Linked DNA regions of Caenorhabditis elegans. The protein of the gene in region 1 interacts with the protein of each later gene in a biochemical or structural test. Each region holds a gene or a part of one and is shown on either strand. Other genes may lie near its edges.

The links.
Region 2: the proteins of lem-2 (region 1) and lmn-1 interact in far-western blotting, tested with the Caenorhabditis elegans proteins (one study listed by BioGRID).

The regions. Positions count from the first base shown.
Region 1 is NC_003280.10:14,061,279-14,065,234, forward strand, and holds the start of lem-2 (LEM protein 2), read left to right. Parts: upstream 1-2,171; 5' UTR 2,172-2,176; coding exon 2,177-2,317; intron 2,318-2,373; coding exon 2,374-3,397; intron 3,398-3,956. Other genes in the region: W01G7.4 (putative RNA polymerase II nuclear localization protein SLC7A6OS), read left to right, coding at 1-97, 171-271, 1,131-1,200. UniProt on the Caenorhabditis elegans protein: Nuclear lamina-associated inner nuclear membrane protein that is involved in cell division, nuclear structure organization, maintenance of nuclear envelope integrity and nuclear envelope reformation after mitosis.
Region 2 is NC_003279.8:8,761,243-8,764,842, forward strand, and holds the start of lmn-1 (Lamin-1), read left to right. Parts: upstream 1-1,798; 5' UTR 1,799-1,813; coding exon 1,814-1,911; intron 1,912-2,000; coding exon 2,001-2,085; intron 2,086-2,133; coding exon 2,134-2,247; intron 2,248-2,402; coding exon 2,403-2,636; intron 2,637-2,688; coding exon 2,689-3,600. UniProt on the Caenorhabditis elegans protein: Major component of the nuclear lamina, a fibrous layer on the nucleoplasmic side of the inner nuclear membrane. Provides a framework for the nuclear envelope and probably also interacts with chromatin.

The DNA.
Region 1 (3,956 bases):
AGATGACTCCGATGGGCCGCCGGCTGATGATGAAGACGATTCGAATGATGAGGATAACTGGCGGAATGACTATCCCGATGAGGAATCCTATGATGAGGTTGGAGCTGCTGAATTCTGTGAATTTTCCATTGAAAATCTTCAAATCCCCAGATGAAAATGTTGATTTTCAGGACAGCGACAATGGGGATCCGTACGGAATATCGGAGCCCGACCATTGGCACGCCGGCGAGGAGGCATACTCCGACGAAAGCTTCCACAGACGGCTTCAAAAGTGTGTAAAATTGGATTATTGCGCTGAAATTACGGCTTAAAACCTGGAAATTGAGGCAATTTTCACAAAAATGCTTAAATTTTAGCTAAAAGTATTGAATTTAGCTATTTTTCCTCGTAAATTTCTGAAAAATCGGCTAAAAATTCTATTTTCCTTTTTTTTTTTTGCGAAAAACTCGAAAATTCCGGTTAAAATTGCTCATTTCTCTGGAAAAAAAAGCGGCTTTGATGTATTTTTCCATAATTTGTAGTTGAAACCTGAAAATTTAGCTGAAATTATCTATTTTTCACTGTAAATTTCTGGAAAATCGTCTCTAAAAATCCTATTTCTCCACTAAAATCGCTCATTTCTCTGGAAAAAATGCGGCTTTGATGTAGTTTTTCCATTAAAGTTCTCAAATTTCAGCTAAATGTAGTGAATTTGTGGTTGAAACCTGAAAATTTTTAGTTGAAATTAGCTATTTCTCCCTGTCAATTTCTTAAAAATCGGCTAAAAATTCAATTTTCCCACTAAAATAGCTCATTTCTCTGGAAATAATGCGGTTTTGATCTAGTTTTTCCATTAAATTGCGCAAATTTCAACTGATTTTGCCAATTTTGATGCTAAAAATTGAAAATTTACATGTGAAAGTTTGAAAATTCGGCCACAAAACCCCGGTTTTCCTCCAATTTTTTGAAAATTCCGACTAAAATCGCTTATTTTTACTAACTTTCAAGTAATTTTCATCAATTTAATTATTAAAAACTTGAAAATTAGCTATTTCAACCTGAAAAATTCTGAAAAGTACAACTTTTTGGTGATAAAATGTGGCGGTTTTCAATTTTTAGATGGAAATTCTGAAAATTCTATCATTTTTCAGCATGGACCTGAACGACGAACGCTACGAAGCATTTTATGAGGGTGACGAGACTGACGAAGACGCCGATTAATACTGTTTTTCGCCTTTTTTTTGTTTTTTCAGTGTTCAAGCTTACTTATCAGTAACTCACACACACACATATTTTCAATTTTTCATTCATTTTCATTCATTCATTCACAACTCTGAAATTCGTATCATGAAGACCTTATTTGTGCTATTTCTCGCCTTTTTTCTGCTTGTTGAAGCTTCTTCGGAAAGCGGAAAACGCGACGTTTTTCACAATATTGAGAACTTTTTCAAGTTCCTTTGCGTCGTTTTTCAAGTTTCTCAGGCGTCGGTACAACGTGAGAAATCGAGAAATACCTCGGAAAGCACAAAGAAATTTCAGAAAACGACCGAAATCACGAGAAATCGAATCTTCCAGGCTGATTCATAGCATTGCAAAGCTGAATTACTTGGCTTTCAGCTCATCGGGCAACTGCACTGAGCTTAAATAATTTTTTTTGTTGTAATTTTTAAAAATTTTTCATTCAATAAAAGGTTTTTACTCAATTTTACTGAGCAAAATTTATCGATTTTTTTAAAAATTTGATGAATTTACCCTGAATATTCAAGGAAAAACCTGAAAAATCGAGACTCGCAGAGGATTTCCTCCGCGGAAATTCCGAATATCAGAATTTATTTTCGAGAGACACCACGAACTTGCGACACCACGAAGTTTTTGAAGAAACAGAATCCGCAGGCAAAGTTTTTTGTTTTAGCACATTTTAGGTTTATTTTGGTTTTATTAAAAATTAAAATAACAATTTCTTTTTTAAAAGTTTAGTTTTTTAGAAGTAAATCTTAATTTCCGGTGAGATATTCTGTAGTTTTTGCGTCCATGGTGGTGTTCATCCCGCACCGCCTCCTCGCAAGCGCGCTCCACTGACATTTCCCGCCGCATTTGGTTCAAATTTCACAACCTTCGAAAATTGACGATTTCCTTCGTTTTTCTTCATTTTTTCGCGTTCTTATAAGATTTTTTAATTATTTTTTACTTTCAGAGAATGGTCGACGTTGAGAAAATGTCGGATGCAGAGCTCCGCGCCGAGTTGAACGTTCGCGGGGCGAATGTTGGCCCGGTAACTGGAACGACTCGTTCGCTGTACGAGAAGAAGCTGAAGAAGTTGCTTTCCGGTGGAGCAAAGGTATTTTAAAAGGATTTAGAATACTTTAGATTTTTTTTTTATAATTAAATTTTCAGACTCCTGCTCGTCCTACCGTCGCCAAACCAGCACCAAAACCAACTCCAAAATCCGCTCCAGCTCCAAAATCCCCAAAATCGCCGCCGGCCAGACGCTCAATTCCACGTGCTGCCGCGACCGCCGCCAATAGCACGATAAATTCCACGTTTAATCGATCGGAAATCGAGGAAATGAGCGATTCGGACGATGATATGCGAGACGACGACGATGACGATGAGGAGATTCTCTCGCCGAAATCCAAGCAATCTTCGTTCAGAAGCGCCAACTCAACGGCGAGCAGTGTTGGACGCGGCCGCCCGGTTTCTTCGACGCCTAACAAGAGACTTTCTCCAGTTTACAAGCCATCTCCAGTCCCAAAGAATACTCCAAGAACTACTTCATCATCAAGCAAAACCACTATCAACACAACTACTACTCGCATTCCATCAACTCCCCGGAGGATTACCTCAGTGCCCGGGTTGATCACAGACTTCACGCCAAGCTTCTCCACATTCGGAAGCGATCGCCCCGGCGCTACACCGCCAAGAAAATCGATTTACACGTCGAAAGTGTCCAAAGTTCTTCACGACTTGGGAAACACTACCGGAGAAGAGGATGATGATGACGAGTTTGAAGGTCAAGAGACGAGTAGAATCATCTACAAGACAGAAGAACCCTCGCGGCGGGGCATTGTGAAGAACGCGTGGAACAAGGTGCTCGGCTATGGTTTCGATGCGTCCAAGAATCCAGGAGACAGCTATGATCTTCGCGCCGGTGCCTCCAGAATCCGTGTGCAGAAGAATCCGAGAACCGGGAAGGTGACTGTGAAGCAGACGAATATTTTCAACGAGGCGATTTATTTCGCGCTCTATGTGATTTTAATTTTGTTCGTCGTGCTTGGAATCGCCTACGCGCTGACAACAACGCATCGCCCGAAAACTGCGGATTTCTCGGGTTATTGGGGAGTTTTGAAGGCGGCCGGCCGAGATTCGCTCAATTTCTTCTACAATTACGCGATTCTTCCAGTCGTTTCACTGGGGATTTGTAAGTTTTGCAGTTCACCACTGCAACTTTTTCCTCACGAGGGACGAGGAAAAGTGGTTTCTAGGCCAAGGCCGAGGGGCCGACAAGTTTCAGCGGCCATTTATCTTGCTTTGCTTTCCGCCTGTTTTCCTTCGTTTTTCACAGTTTTTTCCCGTTTTTTCTTATTAAAACTGATGAATAAATATTTTTTGCAGATGCTAAAATAATTTCCAGATGAAAAAATATGTATTCAGTCGGCAAGTAGTGGTGAAAGTTGTCAATGTAATATGATGGATTACGGGAATACAAAACCTAAACTTTTTCTGAAACATGATACATATGATGCTTAGATGCTGAAATTACCTGATTTTCATAACGAGACCGCTGAAAAAGTTTTGAGGTTTTCAAAATTCAACTTTTTGTGCGAAAATCTCGACTTTTTCACCAAAAAAGTTGAATTTTGGAAACCTCAAAACTTTTTCAGCGGTCTCGTTATGAAAATCAGGTAGTCTCAGCATTTAAGCAGCATATGTATCATGTTTCAGAAAAAGTTTAGGTTTTGTATTCCCGTAATCCATCA
Region 2 (3,600 bases), on another chromosome or scaffold:
GTCCGGTTGTACAGCCCTAATTTTATATACTCAATTGTTAATCTGCATATTACCAAGAGACATGTTTTGCCCAAGTTCCTCTCACATTTAATCGATTCTCTTGTTTTTTCATTTCAATCTTTTTAGGGATCAAATGTGTTTTAGAGATGCAGGTGTCTAGAGAAAATTGTTTTCCTACTCTTTCATTTCGTATTCTTTTCATTTCACCAAACTTCTCTCTCGCGGCTAATCTCGCCTTCATAATAGAAATTTAGCTTCTAATTTTCGTGCTATACTAATATTCTACCACATGGTCACATCAAATGAGATAAAAACTGTCAACGCGCCAAAATGACACTCTCCCATTGATTTATTGCCCTTTGTCTCTGTGCGTCGACGCTCTAGTGCTCTTTCCAGATGTTGTTTCCTTCTCTTCTCAGCCTCCTTCTCTAGAATTCATTCATTCTGTGTCAAACACCAAAGAAGAACGACATTGTCTTCTCTCACACAAGACTGCTTATGATTTCTCGCTTCCTTCATCTGGCTCTGAATATGTCTTTCAATGGTACATGTTTATTGTTAATCGCCGAGTTTCAAAATTTACACTATCCATATAAAAAAGCGGCAAAACCTCAAAATTTCAGATGTTTGACCACTTCTCTAATACTCTCATCATGCCTCTCCATTATTCGTTCTATTTAACCCTGTACTGGCATGTTGCCAAGTTGTGTATATGTATGTTGTTTACCATATGCACACGTCTTTCCTGCTTCTCTACTTCTCTAGTCATTGGGACCGTGAGCATAAAAAACGAAAGAAAAACTTGAAAATAGTGCGCGAAACGGGAGAGATCAGAGATGAAGGGGTACGCAGCGCTCACTCGCGCGACTAAAGAGAGAGCATTGGCCTGGGCCATTGCCCTTCGAAACAAGATCGAGCGTTTTTCATCGTTTTTGAACCCTCGAAACTCCTACATATCACCTCTCATGCAACTTTTTTACACTAATTTGTGTAATTTGATATCCTATCTTATAGTTTATCAGGTCATTTCTCTTTTGTAGTAGTCCGAAAGTTTTGATTGATCGAATTTCGAAATTCTCCCTAAATTTTCGAAATTTTGTTACTTTCAAATTGACGCGACATGGACGGTCAATCAAAACCAAACAAGTATGCGAGAAATTCCCTTTTCTCTCTTTTTCTCTAATCATTTCAGTCCCATCTGCCTAGTTCTATCGGCAATTTGTGGAAGTGCGCAGATGATTTTTGAAGGCGAGGTGATAACGCCCTGCTAAAGCATTCTTATTCACGAGAGTTTCAAAAAACTATTGAAACGAGGTAAATCTTAGTTGAGTATACCTTGACAATTGTAGTTCTTTGCCGAGTTGCCTAATGTTTGAATTCAACGCTACTTACTGACTATGTTTATGCTTTTGTTTACGTCACTCTCACAAATGTTCCTTATTTCTCTACTATATTTCTTTCTGTTGAAACATTTAAAAAACGAAACAACACACATCTATGTGGAATACTGCCATCTGCCGATTTTGAGGTCACTTGGCGCGCCGTAACTCGCAAATAACCTAACAGCGCCAGATTTTTCGACAAACACACGCTTTCCGAAGTGGTATACACAACGGCCGTGTCCGCATGTTTGCCACACTTCTTTTGAGACAGAAAACTTTTGTTGTATAAAAATTTTATCACAAGAAATATCAAAATGTTGAGTCACGTTCGTGTGGCGCCTATGACGTTTCCTCTCTTCTCTTACATCTCTCTTTGTCTATTTCTGAAACTAAATCCAATATAATTAACTCTTCAGAAAGCAGCGAGAAAAATGTCATCTCGTAAAGGTACTCGTAGTTCTCGTATTGTTACGCTAGAGCGCTCAGCGAATTCGTCGCTAAGCAACAATGGAGGAGGCGACGATTCATTGTGAGTTTTTATTTTGCTTCTCTAGTTCCTGCACTCATAAACGCATTTCTTGTGTTATCTAAAAAAAAACTCGATGAAATGCTTTTCAGTGGCTCAACGCTTCTAGAAACTTCACGTCTTCAAGAGAAAGATCATTTGACTTCACTCAACAGTCGTCTTGCCACTTACATCGACGTGAGTTTTAATTTGGAAAGTATTCATATTTGAAAGTACACTTTTCAGAAAGTTCGTCAATTGGAGCAAGAGAACAACAGACTCCAGGTTCAAATTCGCGACATCGAAGTTGTTGAAAAGAAAGAGAAGTCAAACTTGGCCGATCGCTTCGAGGCGGAAAAGGTACACTTTGTTTATATTCTGATCGCCAAAGGTGTTCTGTGGGAAACTGATGCGGTGGTCTTATTATTCTCGCCGCGGTAAAGTAACAATGCAAATATAAGCTCTCGTTTTGGACGAATGATAAGTGTTGGAATATAGATTATTTGTATTTTCAGGCTCGTCTCCGTCGTGCCCTCGATTCGGCTCAAGATGAGCTCGCAAAATACAGGATCGAGTATGACGCTGCAAAGGTTGAAGTAAAGAAGTTGAAGCCACAAGTCGAAAAACTTGAGAGAGAACTCGCTGGAGCTGAGGAACAAGCCCTCCATGCCCAATCTATTGCTGATCAAAGTCAAGCAAAACAGAAGACGTTGCAGGCACGCAACGATAAATTGGTGGTGGAGAATGATGTAAGAAATTTTAATTTTATCAAAAGTAAATGTTCAATTTTGTTGTTTTCAGGATCTCAAAAAGCAGAACATCACTCTTCGTGACACCGTAGAAGGACTCAAGAAAGCCGTTGAAGATGAAACTCTTCTCCGAACAGCCGCCAACAATAAAATCAAGGCTCTGGAAGAAGATCTCGCTTTTGCTCTTCAACAGCACAAGGGAGAACTTGAAGAAGTTCGTCACAAGAGACAGGTCGACATGACAACCTACGCCAAGCAGATTAATGATGAGTATCAATCTAAGCTTCAAGATCAAATCGAAGAGATGCGTGCTCAGTTCAAGAACAATTTGCATCAAAACAAAACAGCTTTCGAAGATGCCTACAAAAACAAGCTCAATGCTGCTCGTGAACGCCAAGAGGAGGCTGTATCCGAAGCAATCCATCTTCGTGCCCGTGTTCGTGACTTGGAGACATCAAGCAGTGGAAATGCTTCGCTCATCGAACGTCTTCGTTCAGAGCTCGACACTCTGAAGAGATCGTTCCAAGAGAAGCTCGACGACAAGGATGCTCGAATTGCTGAACTTAATCAAGAGATCGAGCGCATGATGAGCGAGTTCCACGATCTTCTTGATGTTAAAATCCAATTGGACGCCGAACTCAAGACCTACCAAGCTCTCCTTGAGGGTGAGGAGGAGCGTCTCAATCTTACTCAGGAGGCGCCACAAAACACTTCAGTTCATCACGTCTCGTTTTCATCCGGAGGAGCAAGCGCTCAGCGCGGAGTGAAGCGTCGTCGCGTTGTCGATGTAAATGGAGAGGACCAAGACATTGATTATCTCAACCGTCGCTCCAAACTCAACAAAGAGACTGTTGGCCCAGTTGGAATCGACGAGGTTGATGAGGAAGGAAAGTGGGTCCGTGTTGCAAACAACTCTGAAGAAGAACAATCCATCGGAGGATACAAGTTGGTGGTCAAAGCTGGA